Linked DNA regions of Daphnia pulex. Each later gene encodes a partner of the first gene's protein in a complex. Links are inferred from orthologs where the notes say so. Each region holds a gene or a part of one and is shown in the gene's direction. Other genes may lie near its edges.

Region 1 (2,381 bases):
AATGGGAAAATATTGTGTTGGTAACACCTACCATTTGTACTGGAATAGTCAGCTGAGTATGAAAGTATGACAGTGGCACACCCCCAATAATGTAGATAGCCAACTAAATAATGGCCAAGGTTCATTTTTGAATCAGCAAAAACAGTGACACACAAACATTCATACAACCTCCTGGATGTTTGCAGGAAAAAAAGTACAGCAGCTAATAGTGATAACTCAGGGCTAGCTTTATAAATAGACAATATTTTAACAATACAGAATGAATAAAATTTTGTTAAAATTGTTCAGTTACCTAAAGGATTGTGAGTGTATGGTGATACAAAACTAATGTATGAGGTTACAAGCGTAGATAATTGATTCTTCAACACAATCTTCCACATCATTGTTATGAGAACCAGGAATGTATAGAATACTCCAAACACATAAAAGTGTGTAAACCAACTTAATTTAGCAGATTAAAATAAATTTTTAATTTTAATTGTAAAGGAATCAGCAGTAGTAACTTTAATACCTCTTCGGAATAAGGATAGTTCTGATTGAACTGCCAAATACCTTACCTTCACAACTTTTCCCATAAGAGTAGAGATCAATTATAATCTTTGGTATCCACTTAGTATCAACAACAAACACAAGAATACCAAGAATGGAACTCATGCTCAACAAAATAAAGATGGTAATAACAATGCTTATTGTGATCATGGCCGGTGTTGAGACTATTGGCTATCTTGAAGGAATGGCTGAGTTATTAATTCGTTTAGATTGAAAGCATAGTCGGTTTTCAACAGGTTATGTAAAAAGAGATTTGATTTTACGTAAAAGCACAACTGGTTTTTCGGGTTTCTGAAGGCGACCCCGTGCCATGAAGTCTGAACGAAAAATTGAAAACAAATGATAAGAGGAAGGGGGCCAGGGGGGGAATTCGAAAGTATTGCCACTTGCCAGATCTTAAGAATAATCCCTTATTAGAAATAAATTTTATTTTACTTTTAAAATGTTTTATTAGTAAAACTTTAAATATTTTATAGTTAACTATACACATTTTTATACTGTTAAATATGTTTATATTCCTTGGGAGTTGGGAATGAATTTGTAAAGAAAGTGGATGAAAATTTCACACACAGATGTCGTGTTACTCGTGAAGTTGACAGACGCATTATTTACCTTTTTCGGGTTTCTGAAAGGAAAGGTTTGAAAACGTGAAGCGAGATCTATTTCTAAGCACTGTTCAGCTTTTTCTTTTTTCACGACCTTTATCAATCAAACAATATGTCTTACATGTTACAGCATCTTGTTAATGGTTGGCAAGTAGATCAAGCAATTCTTTCAGAAGAGGACCGTTTAGTGGTAAATCAAACTTTCTCTAGTTAATATTACTATCAATTTAAACATGCTTTACTACAGGTTATTCGTTTTGGTCATGATTGGGACCCAACTTGCATGAAAATGGATGAAGTGCTTTATCAAATTGCAGAGAAAGTCAAGAACTTTGCTGTCATCTATTTAGTGGATATCACCCAAGTTCCTGACTTCAATAAGATGTAATTTCATATTTACATTGTATGAATGAATCCCAATAATGATTTTCACTGTTTTTCTATATAGGTACGAGTTGTATGATCCTTGCACAAACATGTTTTTCTTCCGTAACAAACACATTATGATAGATTTAGGCACTGGTAACAACAATAAAATCAACTGGGCAATAGAAGATAAACAAGAAATGATTGACATTGTGGAAACAGTCTATCGTGGAGCCAGAAAAGGTCGAGGTTTGGTTGTTTCACCGAAAGATTATTCTACCAAATATCGCTATTAACTGTGTTGTTCAATTAAATGACACTGGATTAAAAACTAATAAATGATGACACTTTTGAATCCCCATTTTCATAAATTGTTTGTCTCATAAATTGACCATCAAGTAAACACATCGTACAACAATCGTTACAACAATTACATTATATTACTTACGGTTAGGTTTCCGAACAGTGATTTAACTTACCATGAAAATTTATTTCAATTATTTTATATTTTACGTATACCGTACGTAGTTATTAGCAGGTAACGAATACTTCCCAAAAAGAACTCGAGATAGAGTGACATGTCCATTTAGTTTAAACTTAAGCCACTAGGTGCTCGACACTATGGCGGCAGTCTGTTTCCTGCCTGTTTCTTGTTTCGCCCCGTCAGATTAAATGAATGTAACCGTTTCAATAGCTCGGTTAGAACAATGTGTCATATACCCCTAAGTGAAGACATCAAAACTTTTTACTTATGAATGTGCTGATCCCCATGAAAGTACCATAAAGTGAAGAGGATAACAGGTGTTTACAGCCGGTGGCCGTCCAACAACGAACTTGTACTTATTGAACTCCGTGTGCACC
Region 2 (2,295 bases), on another chromosome or scaffold:
GTATCAAAAATATTAACTTGATATAATGGACCATAATGTAAATAACTTTATGAGAAATTAATTTTTAGTCAATGTCTCCTATTATTGGGCGTTTGGTACCCTTTGCAGCTGTTGCTGCCGCTAACTGTGTAAATATTCCTCTGATGCGAATGCAGTAAGATAAACATTTTCTCGTCGCATAAGATAACTAATGCTTTAAAATACGACTGATTTTTTAGTGAAATTCAAAAGGGAATCTCAGTTTCTGATGAGAACGGAAATGTACTCGGTGAATCTTCGATTGCTGCCAAATGGGGTATCACTCAAGTTGTCCTTAGTCGTATCGGAATGGCTTCTCCTGGAATGGGTAATTCATGTAATACGATAGTAATCTGATAAAAATAAAACATCCAGCACAATAATATGCAGTCCTACCACCTCTGCTGATGAATTATTTGGATCGAAAGGGCTTCTTGAAGCGATTCCCTTGGTCTGCGGCACCTATTCAAGTTACTTTATGTATGAAACATTAACTATTTATCATGTAGTTGTAAACGGCCAATTATGTATTATTATTTGGCTTACAGGTGGCGTATTACTTACTTTCGCTACTCCAATGTGTTGTGCCCTGTTTCCTCAAAAAGCATCGATTTCGGTTGACAGTCTGGAACCAGAGCTACAGGTAATTTTTTATAGCGTTTTAATGTGGTTCTTGTTTTAACATACATCTTTTCTTTTTTAATTCAGGCAAAGATTCGAAAATCCCCGAATCCCCCAACTGTTGTTTATTACAACAAGGGCCTGTAAATTTGAGTCAATCACTGAATTACTGTGGACGAGTGCAAATATCTCAGTACAAGTTTCTTAGATCAACTAGAAAATGAAAAAAACAACAGAAAAACACATTTAATTAAAGTAACTTCCACAGTTTATTTTTTTTTGCTCAAAGTATATTGGTGTAGTTTCCATTCCAGTTGAGGTAATTGGTAGTCATTTTGCTATAGAAATAAACTGCTAAAAAATATTTTCTTACAGAATTGTAGCTGCTAATTTATACAATTAATTGAAGATCGTAATTTTTTTCCTGTTTTAATAAGGCAAAAAAGCCACAAGCTGTATAAAAAATTCCTTAGCGCGCCAGCGCCCAGCCGCCAGGTCTCGTCGCCGGTCTCGCAAAGCCGCCAGTTTCTAAATTCAATATCTGGCAAACACGCGTTCCTAACGTTTGGCATCGCGCATCGGACATTAAAAACGATCCAAACTTTCTTGGTGTATCACGTTTTTTCCTAGTTGCTTGAAGTTAGTGATATATTCATCAACGTAGATATTAGATATTAGTTATTTCAAACCAAAATGAGCAAGGCCCATCCACCAGAGTTGAAGAAGTATGTATTGTTGCTTAAGTTATATTTACATTTTTAATAATGATCTCTACTTCTTTTGTACAGGTACATGGATAAAAGAATGTCTTGTAAGTATTATTTTTTTGTTAAATTATTATTGAAAACTGTTTTGAAGAATTGTTTTTCACAGTGAAACTGAATGGTGGTAGGAACATTGTTGGGATCTTGAGAGGTTTTGATCCATTCATGAACTTGGTCATTGATGAAACCGTTGAAGAAGTTAAAGATGGTTCGAAAAATAACATAGGGATGGTGGTATGTTTAAAATTAACATGGCATACATAAATTCAAATACCATTAACTATTTATATGTAAATTTAGGTTGTTCGTGGAAACTCAATTATAATGTTGGAAGCACTGGAAAGAATCATGTAGCCTAACTGCTGAAAAATAAATGTCATCCAAATTGTAAATTATTTAAAACATTCCACTTTATTACTCTTTTCTTAGCCATCTTAGCATTGGGTTGAGAGGAATTAAGAATGAAAAGGTTACAAATAAACTGAAAATTAAGGAGTGTTGCAAATAAAACACCATTAGAAGAAATATAATGGCTGGAAATTAATGTTAAATTAAAATTAATAGTAAAAAAATAATGAGAATTCTAAAACAATTTTTCGGTAATGAAAGATTTCATTTATTGACGCTAATTAAACAAATTAAGCTTGATCACGTCAATCACGATGAGAGATTGTGCATGTAATATTATTACCTTATTTATATTATGTGGTATATATAAATAACATAATTCAGCGCCACTGCCAGAAGGTTAGATAGTTGTTGAGCTCGGAATTGTTGAACGCCATCTATGCTCTCCAGACGATACACAAGGGTGGGGCCTATATTCTGATAGACGAAAAATTAACATGAGAGTGACTAGGTCTGGGCAGAGCAATAGATGCCTGGTCGGTTC
Region 3 (2,828 bases), about 1.6 Mb from region 1:
CTGAATCGAGGACTTTGGGACAGAAATTGGAAGAATTCCACACGTATACAGCAAACACATTTCTAACGACATGACAATATCAACGTTACTCACCATTTTGGACTAAGAAAAAAGTCTAGAAAAATTTCACGCAAAGCTCAAAGACGCCTAAACTGAAAGATCAACCCGAATGACTGCGGGATGAGACGGCACTGGGGGGAGTGAGTGGTGCGAGTGAGAGAGAGAGAGAGAAAATGCCCTCGATAAGATTTTACTCGTGGCGCGGCGAAAGAAGAGGGGAAACTCAGAGTAGACTTCTCTACACCGGCCGGGACCTCGCACTGCAAAATGGCGGCTGTTCCCCAAACTTGAGAAAACTTGGCGCTACCCAGTCCACACCCAGAAAAGCGCGTCATCTGGGGGTGGAATACAGCGCCGTCAAACGATGCCTATTTCGAACCATATTACAAACTTCACTAATTTATCACAAATAAAACATATAATGATAGGCGCATCATTTATCATTTTAAAAATAATTTGTATGACTCTTATTCTGTTTGCTGTTATGTAAAATCTCAAATGTCGTTAAATGAATTCGGGTAACCGCCAGGGGTCTCTGCTTGCTTAGCGATTGAAGGATGATGCCGATTGTAGAGAATTTTGTGTGTACTGGTTGCACATTCTCTGATTGGTTGTCCATATCGGGCGCTTGTTAACCCGAAAAAGGGGAGCCCAAACCACAAACCTGGAGAGAGTTACGAAAAGTAACTTTTTCTGTAAAATCCTCTACTCGCAGATTTTTCTGCTTGAGCAAAAAGTTGCCGACTCTAAATGATCATTCCGACTTCCTAATAAATGGTGTGCATCTCGCATGAGTGTTTTAACGAAAAAAAAAAATTATTGGGCCAGTTGCACACTTATTCTTTCATTCAGTTTCTCGGGGAGGATGACCTTTTATGGGCAGACATCGATGACTCACATTTTTACTTCCCCTCCCTCTAATCTGCCCTCCCCTCCCCTATGTATTAAAAATCTGAAACTCTCGGGACCGGTGTCGACAACTTTCTCTGTTTCTATAATTTAGACCAAAAAGTTTCAATTGCCATAGATCGCCTTCGCACAATGAACAGCCGATAACAGCGTGATTCGAAAGTTTTCGCCGTTTCAGGATGACTTATCAACAACGCTGGAAAGCGTTCTCCATTGGGGACCATGAGAAAGAATAGTCTGTGCATACGGGGGGAATATGTCCATATATGGCATTAGACAAGCTATGCTACATAACATAACATCTGTCGGCTGACAATTGTCAACCGCTTCGGTTTTCTCTTGACTCTACTTTCTGAGGTTTGTATTTCCTTTCCTCTCGACTAAAACGAATTCCAGTACAGAGTCCCAGACGTCTGACGTCTGGGATTGTAAATGTTTTTCTTGGCAAATTTCATTCTTTTCTTTTCACAACAATTATTAGAAATTGAAACGTGTCTCTTAAAAATGTAAGTCAACATTAAAAAACAATTTTTGGCAATTAAATCGCAAATAAGACATAAAATAGCATCAACCGTCTAATGCTAATTAATACAATATGACAACGCAGCATGTACGTTTTGTTTACGAAAAACAAGTGAATAACGGTTTGAAAAGTTAAACGAAGCCGGGCTCAAAAATATTCCAAAGAATATTTCTCTATCCGTTTACATCCTTCTATTTATCATGGCGTAAGTAAAGCTTAAGTTCAATTTCAAAATAGAAAATTTTTAAATCTATATTTTCAGCTAGTTACAGTGTTCCGTGTCTGCAGATTTTTCTCTACTTGACAGTTTCGTATGAGCACTAAATAATAAATGTTTCTTTCCATAGGGCTGTTGCAAATAAACCCAAGTCGGAGATGACACCGGAGGAATTGGCCAAACGGGAAGAAGAAGAATTCAACACTGGACCACTTTCAGTTTTGACTCAGAGTGTAAAAAACAACACTCAGGTCTTGATCAACTGCCGTAACAACAAAAAGCTACTGGGACGTGTTAAAGCTTTTGACCGTCACTGCAATATGGTTCTAGAAAATGTCAAGGAAATGTGGACTGAAGTTCCCAGAACAGGGAAAGGAAAGAAGAAGGTAATTTTCACTATTTCTGCATTCATTCATTCATCTATCAACAGTGACAGTTGTATATTTATTTTATAGAGCAAACCAGTCAACAAGGACCGTTTTATCTCCAAAATGTTCCTACGTGGAGATTCTGTAATATTAGTATTAAGAAATCCTTTGGCTGGTACTCCTGGAGCAAAATAATTGTATGTGTTTATCTCTCACTTTTGTATGAAATAAAAAAATCGAACAGCGGAAAATGTGTTTTATTATCTCGTTTTATTCCAATGTTGAAAGAAAAAGTTACAAAATCAAACTTAATCTTTTTCGGCAATTGCAGTCAGATGCTTATCGATGTCAGTTTCCGACAGAATTCTATAACAATCAGATCAGTCACATTAATTTCCTAAACTTAAATATTTTGCGCATTTTCTTACCTAAATCCTGGTTGATCCTTAGAAACAACTCCAATTTCAATATCAGATGGCTTGAAATCAGCAGTTAGGATATGAGACAGAGTTGTAATAGCAAGCTGGATAACTTCATCATGTGTGTAGTTTTGTTTCTTTTTGTATTTCTTCTCAAGATACGACGATGCCTCGGTTTGTTTAACACCCACTGAAGTAGCACGATAACCACAGTAATATCCTTGAAAAAAAAGTAAAACAGCAATAAAGCATACAATTTGAGAACTTTACACCCTATTTTAGATATATACCTGCTGGGTCAGCTTTGTATACAGCAGGCCCCAATTCTTCAT
Region 4 (2,624 bases), on another chromosome or scaffold:
CAGATTACAGAGATACGCCTAGTTTTCGTGACTTTCTCTCCCCGGAAGAAGGATTCGCTATTGTTCAGAATTTCGTGATTAAATTCGTATCTAGCAAAGTCCCTGCAATAACAAAGAGAGAGACAGAAATTTAGATAGAGTTATATATCACGATGGGCTCTATTTTGCATAGATAATTACTTCATTATATACAATGATCTTCTCGGTAATAGTGCCGTGACCAAGACTTGGGGTCGCTGTATATGTATGAGCCTCATCACACTGGCTGTGAGCAGAGATATGCCCGATATGGTGGGGCCACAAAACTATGTTTAGAGAAATATACGAATAGATTAGAATGATAATTTCCAAACGCTGTCATCTATCATACCTTTATGCTGTCCAGATGTGGTTTGATGTGACCATTCTCAGCTAAATCAAGCACATGGACATGCTGCATCGTGGTAGTTGAAAAGGCAAAAGCTCTCAACCGATTTATAACACAGTCATTGACTTGATTCCAAGTAGGTTTCTCTGTTTCCCTGTATCCGTGGATAGCCTTTTGGGTTTCGAATAACAAATGGTGGTCATTCAACAGTCAGACAACCTACGTGAACACGAAATTTCAGACTTACATCATCCCAATGGTCATACTGATACCGGGACCTTTTGAACTTCACCTCCAACTCTTCCAATAGGTTATTCTCTTCTTCAGCACTGATGAAATCTTTGTAGACTTGAAAGTCTTTCTCAAGCATTTGCCTCGTCGCTTCATCGCAGTCGGGAGAGAATTCTAAATTTGGAGAGATCCCGCGGGTCTCTGCGGGAGTTGAGCATGTGCTTCTTGAATGGGAACAAGTAGCACTTAAAGGAATTGCGCGCTTCAAAACTGCACGAATATTGACCAGATAAAGCACCATATCTCGATGCTAAAATATTCAACCATTAAAAGTCGGACATCAAAATATTTCAAATCGGCAATTTTCTGCAAAGAGCAGACGACGTTTGCGTGTGTGTACGTGACATGCCATATTTCGTTTTGATTGCAATCAAATGTAAAAAATGATGTCATTAAAAATGACAGACGGTACTTTATTTAATGGACATGTATATTTAAAATAAATAGATTTAACAAAATTGGGCTGGGGTTAGTCACGCTAATATATTATTTCGTTTAATGTTAATACCTCAAAACCGACCAAATAAAGAATTATACCGCATAATGGAAATGTAGGGCCTATCTGATTTTCAAATTTATTTGATGGCCAAAGAAAACGATTCATCAAAACTCTAGCCTGCTGAGTTCTTCTCCTCACCAACCATTTGATTAACGTCTCGGGAAAATAGCCTCAGGCACCCCTTCTCGATTTCTTTAGTCTTTTTCAAATAACCAATTTCCATACATAAACAAAAATTATATTACTCTATCGAAATCATTAATCACTGAAACATAAGTTTACTACAGTTTGTATGAATTAAATCTGAATAGAATGAATGAAAATACTTTGTTGATATTAAAGTAAAATAAACGGCAACGCTGTATTGCAGACGATTTTTACAAGCCAAATACAAAGTGAAGCGAGTGAAGAAATCATGGCATCAACGTTAGATTCTTACGTTAATCGTGAGTTTTAATTATTATATTGTTTATTATTCACTGAAAAATTGTATCTTTCTTGTTCGCAGGTTCCGTATGTGTTATCACGAGTGATGGGAGGAATTTTATTGTAAGTTGTAACGCCCGATCACAAGGCATCATCCTCACTCAATAAACCGTTTGAAATAATTTCAATGTATTCTTTTTACAGGGTATTCTTAAAGGATTCGATCAGACTATCAACCTTATCATTGACGACAGTCATGAGAGAGTGTTTAGTTCTACCCAGGGAGTTGAACAAGTCCAACTGGGACTGCACATCATCAGAGGAGACAATGTGTATGTTTCATCCACTTATTAGCTGTAAAATAACTCAATCATAACTATTTCTTGTTGTAATTTCAGAGTTTTAATTGGGGAAATTGATAATGAACTTGATTCCAGACTCAATTTATCAGAAATAAGAGCAGAACCACTAGCTCAAATCCACCATTAAAGTTTGCATTATTCCATCATGATCACTTGAAATACAATCTTTTTTACAGCTTTGTAGAATCATTCATTTTTTTACAATTAGCTCTAGTTTAAGCAGTTCTTCTTCAACTACTTTAAGGTTTATGATGGTGTCTTCAGGGATCACTGTTACCTAATTAAATGAAAAATCATGAAAACAAGTTTTTACATTAATAAAAATCAGACTTAATATAATTTACTTGGTCGGTTTCAGTAGAATCATCTGGAATGGTATCTTCTAGCAAACAAAGAAGAGCATCATTTTCATAGGTTGGAAAGTAGTACCTAAAAGTTTATCCAATAAAATAGGATCCACAAATAGAAAATTTTGAATGTATCCGGCTTACTGTGACTGATCCCAAACTGCCCGATCGGGAAGTTTAAAGTGACTGAAGTTTTGCATGTGCTCTCTCAGTTTATCCCGGGATTCAAACTGCTCATCGCAAAGTATGCATTTCTTTTCATGCACTTGTCTCCTGACGTAGTTGACAATCTTAATTTGCTGATAGATACTAAAGCTCTTTTTCAGGCCCAG
Region 5 (3,355 bases), on another chromosome or scaffold:
TAATAAAAATAATCACCTTTCAGAATATCAAGACAAATTCGGCCAAGTTTATCAATATTAGGGTGATAAATCTTTGTCATGAATCGCACTTTAGGTGCAGACATTGGGTACTCTTCAGGCAAAAATAGTTCCAATTTGAAAACACCACCTTCAAATGGAGAACCTTCTGGACCTATGAATTTTAATCAATATGAACTAGTCAGTACCAGAATGACACTTTAAGGTTGCAATTTAAGTTTACAGACCTGCAACCACAACATGGAAATAACGAGCATTTTGTTCATCTGGAACTGCACTAATGCCTGGGACAGGCTCAGCCATCAAACGTTGAGTTTCCTATTGATCAAATTAATGACGAATATACTATATTGCTAGAGAATACTACCGGTCCCATAATAGGATCGGGAGAAAAAAACACGTTGCCTCCCACTTTGATGCAAGTCTACAATTAAGATTTGTGTTACCTTGATTATCCTTCTAGGTAAGCCTGCCATTTCGCATCAATTTGTTGAACAAACAACGAGTATAAAATAAGATTTTCGTATAATAGATGGTAACTTTAAAGCCAAATAGAGAAGACGGAAAGTTTTCACGCTATACGAGTGCCCTATTGCTAATTTAAGACGTTGTCAAATTGTTTGGTGACGAAAATCGGTAGGAGATCGACCCGGCCACACGGGAAGAATTAGACATATAAACATATTATTTTTCAAATTAAGACGATTTATTTAAAATGAACAAAGTTTATTTGAATTGGTTTACAAACGGAAATACACGAGAAAGCTAAACAAAAGGTATTGCTTTTCAAATGCCGGAAATGAGTTTAAACCTTTATTTCAGAACCGTAGAAAATGACCAGTAAAAATTTTTTGGTTAGATTAATTGGCTGTTCTGTTTGCGGAATATTTTAATTATTTTCATGAATCATCTAGAAAGAATTTCGACTTGAAAGTTGAAATAAATTGAAAAAGGGCAAATTAACTAATAAGGCATGATTAAGATTGAATGGCAGGCTTCAACACATAAAATTTTTTATTTTATCACTTTCTTCTCCTATCCTTCTTCATGTTAATTTTATTCCCTTTTTTTATGCAAAATTGCTAGAATTTAACTCGGCAAGTCGGCATCCGGTACTGATCTGACGTCTGACCTCCATGTTGTTTGTTTTTAAACTGTCGTCTGCTAGTATTGTTCGTTCATTGCTTTTGCGTGGTTTCATTCACTCAGCTTCATTCTGTTTTAAAATATAAACCATCAAGTGTCAAACACGGAAAGAATGGATCAAAAATTGGCTAACAAATTATTTGAAGAGGGCGCGTTTTTATTTCTTCTTGGCGTACCAATTGGGACTGAAGTAGGAATAGATTTCAACAGTTGGAGAACCGGCGAAAAATTCAAAGGCATAAAAATGATACCCCCTGGAATTCACTATATTTATTACAGGCAAATAAGTTATTTTTTGTTAGAACAGTTGTGTGAGTGTAACATTCACTGTGAGGTACAAAATGTGATTGTATATTTTTATATAATTTCTAGCTCTGTAAGCAAGGAAGGTTCCGTAGCGCCAAGAACAGGTTTCTTTTACAACTTCAATAAGAAGGAAGTTGTGGTCCGTAAGTGGAACCCAGAAATAGAAGATGTCATCAACGATTGTAATTTTATTTTATAAATCATTATTTAATATTAATTTATTATTTAGTGTTTATCCATAATAGGTACTGATGAAGAAAGAGAAAGTTTAAAAGCCAATTTAAAAAATCTTGATCAGCACTTGGGTCCATATCCATTTGATACCTGGAAGAAATGGATGTCTCTCAGCAGTAAATTGACAAGTATATTTTCTTATACATTATGTAATCTGTACAAAAATAAAATGTCTAACAATTAATATTTAGCTGATGTAGTTGGGAAAGTGGAACCCCTTCAGCAAAAGATTTCATCAGTTACAGAATTAATTTCATCAGAAGATGTACCAGCACCAGCAGAATCTCCAGTGAAAGAAAAAAGAATAAAGAGGTCAAATTATGAAGATGAATTACTACCGCACATGCAACCAAAGCCAGGCACAGCGTTAAATTTTACCAAAGTCCCTGTTGATTTCTATCCAGTAGGATCAAGTGCCATGGAAATCACTAAACATAGCATTGACACATCTTATTTACTGGAACAAATGCTGTCAACTTGGGAAAGGTCGGCATTTTTTTAATATTTATTTTTCGGAACGTAAAAAATACCAAATAGTTTGCTGTATTTAATAATAAATTATTTTCTTGTTTAGACCCAATCAAATGCTTGCTGAACTTCAAATGGCGTTTTTGTGTTTTTTGATAGGACAAGTTTACAGTGCTTTTGAACACTGGAAGAACGTGATTCGTATTTTTTGTTTTGCTGATGAGATTCTGTTGAAAAATCCATCATTAATTGTGGAGTTCATTGGGGATATCTATTTTCAGGTGATGACATTAGAAAACACAATTTTCAACTAAAATTATTAATTAAAATATATTGTTTTTTAGATGCAAGAAGTATCTCCAGATTTTTTTGTTGACATAATCTCATCAGAAAACTTCCTCATTCAAACTTTAAGAGTTTTGTTTGGAAATATTTTGGAAAATGATGCTGTTGACAGACAGCTTAAAAGAAGAGCCTCACAGTTGAAGCAATTTGTAACACAGAGGTTTCAATGGGATTTTGATGTTGAACCAAATGATGAAGCACCAGTACTAGTTGAGTTGGATGAAAGTATGTAATAATATTAAGAGAAAATTGATACTTCAACCACTTCAACCATGATATACTGTACACAAATTTCCTCAATTCCTCAATACATGTGTAATGTGTTTACAAGCTGAAAACCAGTAGTAATAATAACTAAATATATGAAAAACTACTAAAGAGATGGGCAGTAACTACCACATGGTAGATTGCTTGTTCAGTTGCTTTTCTTTCCAACAATTAGTGGGCCAACATTATCACCAGTCTCTGTATTATGCTTGTTGTGTGAACCATCACAGTAGGGAAACTAGGAAAGGATAAAAGTTATATAAGATAAATTAATTTGATCCATAATAAGTTCCTTACCGAAGCACTACGCCAGCATCGGCAGAATACTTTCTTGTCCCCTATGTCTTCTAAGTCAAAAGTGTCAACTACTTTTGAATCACCCTTTTTAATACTCTGATTAACCACACTGCCCTGTATAAAGAATTGTATAAGAAATTAAACTTCAGATTATTATCTTCTAAAGTCAAAATATATTGAGAATCCATACCTTTTTATCACACTTCTTTTTACAAAATCCAGTGCCTGTTACTTTGGCATAGATGAAAAGTGATATACCAACAGCAGCAACCCC
Region 6 (4,009 bases), on another chromosome or scaffold:
AGAGAATTTGAAGAAATTAAAGGTGTTCATTATTAAATAAAGGAAGTATAATCTAATAGGTAGAATTACTGGATTTTCGTATGATATGCATCAGGTCAAACTAAACTAAAACTTAAAAAACAGTTCCCCTTGAATTGGTGATGCACTTAGTGTATTTAATAATGCGCCAAAACTCTCAAACAATTATTGTTGGTTGCATAAATTGTGTGTCAAAAAATTCATTATTTAATATGATTTTAGCTCTTGCAATATCACAAATCAAAGGGGCAGTTCAATTATAAGGGGCATCTAAAAACTACAGTAAATAGTAATTATTTCATTTTTAGGCCAAACTCATATTCTTTTTGCTGAGGGTTTCTTTGAGCTCATTTCTGATATTTTCCATCACTTCTGGATTATTCTCTACAGTTCTGCTCAATTCAGTTAGAGCTGAATAAGCCATGGCTTGATTCAAAGGGCAGACTACAAATCCACTCAGTCTTCCCCATAGTCTTTCATACAAATTGTTCCTCTCTTCTACCGTAAAGTCCTCTCTTAAAGCTGTCATCAGAGGTTTGTAATTGCCATATCCCATAGCGTGTGATAAACCTAGGATTCCTGTGCCTGCGACAGCTCCTGCAAATGATGACAAGAAAAAATGATAGGTGCCAAATGGAAAAAAATGAAAACTGCCAAACTGAAAATTACCAATGACAGCTCCAAGAGGACCACCAGCTAAGCCACCAAGGAAGGTTGGCAAAGCAACAGTGGCTGAATCTTTTAATGGTCCAGCTAAGGAAACTGAAAGTGATTTTGTCCTCGACAGTTCCTCCAACAGACCTTCAATCAACTTGATTGCAAGAGTCTGAAATACATAAAACGTTTACATAAAAAAAAAAATGAAATCCTCTTTAATCTTGTCTTGAAAAAGGGGACATTATAATTTTATACTTCCATGGCAGTAGTCTATTGTTGTTACGATAATTGGAGTCACAAAAAATATTTTGAACTACAGACTAGAATGGTGATCATTAAGAATTTGCACTGAGTTCGGTTTAGTAGCGATAAACTTTCACTACTAATTTATCAAATCGAACGATAACAATGTGTAAACATGATAAGAAAAACGAAAAACTGCAACAAACTCAAAATAAAAAGAAGCAGACAAATTTCGAACGTGTGATGCAATAACAAACGGAGTTGCCGCTTATTTAAAAATAATTAAAATAAATATTCAAGCCATTTTCGACGGCAACTCCGTCTACAGTAAACCGGCATCGCGCTTTTTCGTACAAGCTGCGTATACTTCCGTGGCTTTCATTGTATAAGAAACGTGGAATTGCGACTGGTTTCTAGATTGTGTATAGGTTTTTAAAACTTTATTGGTGAGCATTGTCGTTTATTCTATTTCAAACTTTGTTTCATTGATGATGGTTTGTGTCTCAAAAGTAACTGTCTGGTGAATGTTTTAAGGCTAAACAAATAGTTTATTGCCATGAGAGTGGACATGCTTGTAAATGTCATGGCTGACTGTAAGCATTGGATGATGGAGCTATTATGTTCTAATTTTATTGTTTTAATTACCAGGGCCATAGCCCAGAAAGCTTAAATCAGGATGTCGGGAATTCCACCATTTTTTATTCCTGGTGTCACACCCCCAAATCCATGGGCAAATGCGGCCATGATGGCGCAAGCCCAGCAACAGGCACAGCAAGCCCAAATGGCTGCTGCGGTCCAAATGCAGGCTCAAGCAGCTGCAGCTGCTCAACTTCAAGCTGCTCAGATCCATGCAGTTCAAGCAGCCCATGCACAAGTGCAGGCTCAGGTTCAGGCAACACAAGGTAGTAATTGAGTACAAACGTTTATTATAACAAGGTATTTTATCAGTTTTATTTACATCAGGTCCTCCTGTAATAACTAGTTCGAAACAAGAGCAGATGACAGAAGAAAAAATGCAAGACAAGGCTCGTAAATGGCAGCAATTACAAACCAAACGTTATGCAGACAAGAGAAAGTTTGGCTTTGTTGATTCTCAGAAAGAAGATATGCCTCCAGAGCACGTCCGTAAAATCATTCGGGACCATGGTGATATGACCAACCGAAAGTTCCGTCACGACAAGAGAGTGTACCTTGGTGCTCTTAAATATATGCCACACGCTGTTCTCAAGCTCTTGGAGAACATGCCTATGCCTTGGGAACAAATCCGTGATGTTAAAGTACTCTACCACATTACAGGTTCGTTTCACTTATCTTTTCTTTATGTTGTATAAACGCTAATGGTATTCATTTGTTTTAGGTGCCATTAGCTTCGTCAACGAAATTCCGTGGGTCGTTGAACCTGTTTACATTGCCCAGTGGGGTACCATGTGGATTATGATGCGTCGAGAGAAACGAGATCGTAGACACTTCAAACGAATGCGCTTTCCTCCTTTTGACGACGAAGAACCTCCGTTGGACTATGCTGACAATATTTTGGATGTAGAACCCCTGGAAGCCATTCAGATGGAGTTGGACTCGGACGAAGACAAACCAGTTGCTTCTTGGCTGTACGATAGTAAACCTTTGGTCGATACTAAATTCGTCAATGGTACCACCTATCGCAAGTGGCAACTCGAAATGCCTCAACTGGCGACACTCTACCGTTTGGCGAACCAATTGTTGACTGACCTCGTCGATGACAATTACTTTTACCTCTTCGACCTCAAGTCATTCTTCACCGCCAAGGCGCTGAATATGGCAATTCCGGGTGGACCTAAATTCGAGCCACTTGTAAAGGACGGAAACACTCAAGATGAGGATTGGAATGAATTTAATGATATCAACAAGATTATCATCCGGCAACCTGTTCGAACAGAATATCGTATTGCCTTCCCCTATCTCTACAACAACATGCCCAACTTTGTTCATTTATCTTGGTGAGTAATACTGGCTTTCAACTTGTGCTTTAATGGCTGAGATATACACCGATATCCAGAAGATACTTGGATGTTGGTGGCTGAAACAGTCGTAGATAAAAAAAACCAAGAGCTCTTAGTCTTTACTACATAAAACTATATTGAGCCCTACAATGATTATTTCTCTTTTAGGTATCACACCCCAAATGTGACCTTCATCAAGACAGAAGATCCCGATTTGCCGGCTTTCTACTTCGATCCGCTCATCAATCCGATTTCGCATCGCCGTACCGAGAACAAGTTGGCAGAAATGTCTGAGCAAGATTTGTTACCCGACGATAGCGAAGAATTTGAATTACCAGAATATGCGGCACCACTGCTTCAAGTAAATTTTCCATCATCTGAAATTTTAGTTAAAAAGCAATTTTAATCGATATTTCTCTTGACAGGAATGGCCCTTGTATACGGACAACACAGCGAACGGTATTGCGTTGTTGTGGGCTCCCAGGCCGTTCAACTGCAGGTCGGGATTCACTCGTCGTGCACTGGATGTTCCATTGGTCAAAAACTGGTACCGTGAACACTGCCCACCCGGACAACCGGTCAAGGTGCGCGTTTCATACCAGAAGCTATTAAAGTACTACGTCTTGAATGCGCTCAAGCATCGACCACCGAAAGCCCAGCGCAAGCGTTATCTTTTCCGGTCCTTCAAGTCGACCAAATTCTTCCAGCAAACAACTTTGGATTGGGTTGAAGTCGGCCTCCAGGTAAATATTAAACTTTTTCCTGTTAAGAGTCCTTTATAATGATGAGTTGTGCAGGGGTCATGAAATTACCCATAACATGTTAGGTAGACATTGAAAGTCGGGTCTGGCCGTTTGCTAGCCAACTTTCGATGGGACAACGCACTTACTGATATTAACAATCCTCTTAACTTCACATTTCATATTTTTATATCTCTTCCCAAAGACTTAACCCATTTCTTTGTTTGAACAAATTTAGGTCTGTCGTCAAGGATGGAATATGTTGAACTTGTTGATTCACAGGAAGAACCTCAACTACTTACATTTGGATTACAATTTCAACTTGAAACCCGTCAAGACCCTTACAACCAAGGAGCGTAAAAAGTCACGTTT
Region 7 (2,535 bases), on another chromosome or scaffold:
TTTGAAAATTGACTTTTACCAATTTTGAATTAAATACTGTAGGTGAGATGTGACACAGTGACACACTTGGCAAATTAAAACCGTATGTTTTATAGTTACGTCAGAGAATGCCCTCGACCCCTCGTATGAATATGTCCTTATCTTCTTTTTAAAAAAATTATTCCACGAACAGAACAGCGAAACTCATTGTGGATCCCAAGGCGAGAACAGCCCAAAAGTTGACATTAAATGAAAAGTATTAGCAGTATTAGCTGTGATTCTGTGAATTTTTCCAAGCAGCAAGCATCAGTTGTTGTAAGGAAAGGAACGGCAGATCGGCGCAGAACGGCCACACGCCACAAGGCCACAGCCCACAGGCCCAGTCAGCAGAGTAATAGAAAAATATATTAATTCTACAGGTTTTTTGGCATACGGGAGGATTAGTTCAAATTTCGCCAATAGATGGCTTTTTGGAATTTTGAACTGCGCGCGTAGAAATTGGAAAACGGTTTGAACTGCGCGCCTCGAAAATGAAAAACAGTTTGAACTGCGCGCGTAGAAACTGGCATCTAGGCTCTAGCGACCAAAAGTAAAAGTTAACTGGCATCTATCTAGGCTCTAGGCGGCCTAGAGCCTCCGCCACAGCACACACCTAAGTCACACCCCAATGTTTGAATGTTTGACATAACTTTTGAATGTTTCGATATGTTTTAATTGATTTCGATATGTATTATTTTTTATTAGTATACGATTTCAAGTAAAAATATCGAAATAACTTAAACGAAGCGTAAGAGAGGGTGGGTGTTGTGGTTTGGTTTGTTCTAACTGTTTACAGATTTATCTGTAACTATAACTAATTATTTTTTATTTCATATTGCTTATGAAAATAATAAATTTTGCTGTTACTTAAGCTAAAAAGAGAGTGCGACGTGGGGTGGCGGGGCGAAGCCTCCGCCACACCTAAGTCGCACCCCTTATGATTCACAGATATTTTTTGATGTTCCGATAGGCCTTGTTTGATTGATACTATTTAATGTAAAAGTATAACAGTAATTTAAGCGATTAACGAAGCAAGAGGGGGGGGGCGGGGGTGGCAGGCGAAGCCCGTCCCCCCTCCCATTCACCATACCGATAGATTCATGTAATTAATTTTGAATTTCATGTTTACTTTACTTTTGCTTTTTTAAATTTTTAATTGATATTATTTCCTACGGGAACCTCGCAAACCGGAACGGGATGCCAGCATAAAAAAAGTAATATTCTGTTACTCTGGCTTGGCTGCTTGGCTGCTTTGCCTGCTTGCCTTTGCCGCCCTTGTCTTTTTGAAAAATATCGGAAAATCCCTACGAGGAAATAAATATCTGGCAACGTTGTTGGCAATTGAGCGTCTGTGTTCGTTTCTTCTTCAACAAAAAGTGTAAACTCAAACAACTCTCATTTAGAAATTTGATAATTTTCCCGTGTGGAATCAATTAAATATCAATTCAAGATAAATGGCAGCCCGAGCACCTAAAGTCCAGAAAGTGATGGTTCAACCCATCGTAAGTTTTCACCACTATCACTTCGATTTCAGCACGAAGATTTATTAACCGGCACGTGTGTCAAAAATGTCTTTTTCCAGAACTTGATTTTCAGATACCTTCAGACAAGATCAAGAGTAGACATTTGGCTTTATGAGAACATCAACATGCACATGGAAGGACACATTGTTGGATTTGATGAGTACATGAACATTGTTCTCGATGATGCAGAGGAAGTCTACGTCAAAACAAATGTCAGAAAACAGATTGGTAATGACGTTTTCATTTACTCACAATTATTCTGTCTTCTAAATGCTGTTTTATTTTAGGACGGGTGTTGCTGAAAGGTGACAACATTACTCTAATCCAAAATGCTGCAGGAAGTGGAGACGACTAATCTTCCTATATTAATTGGTCAGAATGCATTCCCAATTTGTGTTCTGTCGTGTATTACCTTTGATTAACGGGGAACTGATTTTGTGTACATCCAATCTTGATGTGCTGACTGATAAGAAAAACATGATGCTACAACCACACTTGAATATTTCATTCTCAACATCTATTTATTATTTTTTAGTTTTATATAAATTTCCCTAGTAATATTTTCCAATATTTATTTTGATGAAGCCTAGCCACTTTTACACATGAAAAATGTCTCCGGCAAGAGAATAATTTACACAATGACAAGAATAATCATGTTTTGAAAACAAGTCATTTCATGTGGACTACAATAATAAAAATAACCTATTGCACAACATTGTGTAACCACTTAAAATAGAAGGTACAAGTATAAAATCAATAAAAGTATCAATGATATCAGCCTGTTAGGTGGGGGGTGTACAACATAGCAAAGAGTGAAAACTAGCAAAATTTCAGACCCTAAAAATAAAGTAGTGTTTAAAATAATTACACATACATAATTATCAATTTATTATGACACTTCGATAACAGAGAAGCTGTTGCAATTCAAACTGGAATTGCTATTGTGTCTAGAACCGCAGCCCGAAGGCGAGGGTGACGGGTTGGACGACGAATC

What was found.
Region 2: thioredoxin-like protein 4A (region 1) and probable small nuclear ribonucleoprotein G share a complex: the UniProt entries of both Homo sapiens proteins name them as parts of the U4/U6-U5 tri-snRNP complex. The link is inferred for Daphnia pulex from reciprocal best matches to the Homo sapiens genes TXNL4A and SNRPG.
Region 3: thioredoxin-like protein 4A (region 1) and small nuclear ribonucleoprotein Sm D2 share a complex: the UniProt entries of both Homo sapiens proteins name them as parts of the U4/U6-U5 tri-snRNP complex. The link is inferred for Daphnia pulex from reciprocal best matches to the Homo sapiens genes TXNL4A and SNRPD2.
Region 4: thioredoxin-like protein 4A (region 1) and U6 snRNA-associated Sm-like protein LSm8 share a complex: the UniProt entries of both Homo sapiens proteins name them as parts of the precatalytic spliceosome. The link is inferred for Daphnia pulex from reciprocal best matches to the Homo sapiens genes TXNL4A and LSM8.
Region 5: thioredoxin-like protein 4A (region 1) and protein AAR2 homolog share a complex: the UniProt entries of both Homo sapiens proteins name them as parts of the U5 snRNP complex. The link is inferred for Daphnia pulex from reciprocal best matches to the Homo sapiens genes TXNL4A and AAR2.
Region 6: thioredoxin-like protein 4A (region 1) and pre-mRNA-processing-splicing factor 8 share a complex: the UniProt entries of both Homo sapiens proteins name them as parts of the U4/U6-U5 tri-snRNP complex. The link is inferred for Daphnia pulex from reciprocal best matches to the Homo sapiens genes TXNL4A and PRPF8.
Region 7: thioredoxin-like protein 4A (region 1) and probable small nuclear ribonucleoprotein E share a complex: the UniProt entries of both Homo sapiens proteins name them as parts of the U4/U6-U5 tri-snRNP complex. The link is inferred for Daphnia pulex from reciprocal best matches to the Homo sapiens genes TXNL4A and SNRPE.

The regions. Positions count from the first base shown.
Region 1 is NC_060018.1:1,947,734-1,950,114, forward strand, and holds thioredoxin-like protein 4A, read left to right. Parts: upstream 1-1,134; 5' UTR 1,135-1,266; coding exon 1,267-1,344; intron 1,345-1,401; coding exon 1,402-1,538; intron 1,539-1,602; coding exon 1,603-1,816; 3' UTR 1,817-1,881; downstream 1,882-2,381. Other genes in the region: polyprenol reductase-like, read right to left, coding at 32-226, 293-441, 512-699. UniProt on the Homo sapiens protein: Plays a role in pre-mRNA splicing as component of the U5 snRNP and U4/U6-U5 tri-snRNP complexes that are involved in spliceosome assembly, and as component of the precatalytic spliceosome (spliceosome B complex).
Region 2 is NC_060026.1:11,525,926-11,528,220, reverse strand, and holds probable small nuclear ribonucleoprotein G, read left to right. Parts: upstream 1-1,174; 5' UTR 1,175-1,332; coding exon 1,333-1,364; intron 1,365-1,427; coding exon 1,428-1,450; intron 1,451-1,512; coding exon 1,513-1,637; intron 1,638-1,703; coding exon 1,704-1,757; 3' UTR 1,758-1,795; downstream 1,796-2,295. Other genes in the region: sideroflexin-1-like, read left to right, coding at 69-154, 219-346, 409-498, 567-661, 727-786. UniProt on the Homo sapiens protein: Plays a role in pre-mRNA splicing as a core component of the spliceosomal U1, U2, U4 and U5 small nuclear ribonucleoproteins (snRNPs), the building blocks of the spliceosome.
Region 3 is NC_060018.1:305,154-307,981, forward strand, and holds small nuclear ribonucleoprotein Sm D2, read left to right. Parts: upstream 1-1,304; 5' UTR 1,305-1,475; intron 1,476-1,544; exon of another isoform or gene 1,545-1,576; 5' UTR 1,577-1,692; coding exon 1,693-1,697; intron 1,698-1,839; coding exon 1,840-2,095; intron 2,096-2,164; coding exon 2,165-2,272; 3' UTR 2,273-2,328; downstream 2,329-2,828. Other genes in the region: cofilin/actin-depolymerizing factor homolog, read right to left, coding at 94-96; proteasome subunit alpha type-6-like, read right to left, coding at 2,386-2,443, 2,506-2,716, 2,787-2,828. UniProt on the Homo sapiens protein: Plays a role in pre-mRNA splicing as a core component of the spliceosomal U1, U2, U4 and U5 small nuclear ribonucleoproteins (snRNPs), the building blocks of the spliceosome.
Region 4 is NC_060019.1:330,985-333,608, forward strand, and holds U6 snRNA-associated Sm-like protein LSm8, read left to right. Parts: upstream 1-1,493; 5' UTR 1,494-1,572; coding exon 1,573-1,603; intron 1,604-1,665; coding exon 1,666-1,706; intron 1,707-1,787; coding exon 1,788-1,915; exon of another isoform or gene 1,916-1,981; coding exon 1,982-2,072; 3' UTR 2,073-2,124; downstream 2,125-2,624. Other genes in the region: alpha-ketoglutarate-dependent dioxygenase alkB homolog 7, mitochondrial-like, read right to left, coding at 1-102, 181-305, 371-538, 615-899; zinc finger protein 277-like, read right to left, coding at 2,136-2,222, 2,290-2,374, 2,437-2,624. UniProt on the Homo sapiens protein: Plays a role in pre-mRNA splicing as component of the U4/U6-U5 tri-snRNP complex that is involved in spliceosome assembly, and as component of the precatalytic spliceosome (spliceosome B complex).
Region 5 is NC_060019.1:11,511,752-11,515,106, reverse strand, and holds protein AAR2 homolog, read left to right. Parts: upstream 1-1,154; 5' UTR 1,155-1,276; coding exon 1,277-1,443; intron 1,444-1,536; coding exon 1,537-1,652; intron 1,653-1,715; coding exon 1,716-1,832; intron 1,833-1,895; coding exon 1,896-2,190; intron 2,191-2,278; coding exon 2,279-2,453; intron 2,454-2,516; coding exon 2,517-2,750; 3' UTR 2,751-2,855; downstream 2,856-3,355. Other genes in the region: ubiquitin-conjugating enzyme E2 N, read right to left, coding at 17-172, 246-336, 465-494; CDGSH iron-sulfur domain-containing protein 1-like, read right to left, coding at 2,933-3,022, 3,082-3,195, 3,272-3,355. UniProt on the Homo sapiens protein: Component of the U5 snRNP complex that is required for spliceosome assembly and for pre-mRNA splicing.
Region 6 is NC_060027.1:2,049,206-2,053,214, forward strand, and holds the start of pre-mRNA-processing-splicing factor 8, read left to right. Parts: upstream 1-1,209; 5' UTR 1,210-1,364; intron 1,365-1,566; 5' UTR 1,567-1,594; coding exon 1,595-1,820; intron 1,821-1,881; coding exon 1,882-2,214; intron 2,215-2,275; coding exon 2,276-2,894; intron 2,895-3,065; coding exon 3,066-3,258; intron 3,259-3,322; coding exon 3,323-3,640; intron 3,641-3,875; coding exon 3,876-4,009. UniProt on the Homo sapiens protein: Plays a role in pre-mRNA splicing as core component of precatalytic, catalytic and postcatalytic spliceosomal complexes, both of the predominant U2-type spliceosome and the minor U12-type spliceosome.
Region 7 is NC_060026.1:14,103,919-14,106,453, reverse strand, and holds probable small nuclear ribonucleoprotein E, read left to right. Parts: upstream 1-1,347; 5' UTR 1,348-1,472; coding exon 1,473-1,520; intron 1,521-1,600; coding exon 1,601-1,769; intron 1,770-1,828; coding exon 1,829-1,896; 3' UTR 1,897-2,035; downstream 2,036-2,535. Other genes in the region: serine-rich adhesin for platelets-like, read right to left, coding at 2,431-2,535. UniProt on the Homo sapiens protein: Plays a role in pre-mRNA splicing as a core component of the spliceosomal U1, U2, U4 and U5 small nuclear ribonucleoproteins (snRNPs), the building blocks of the spliceosome.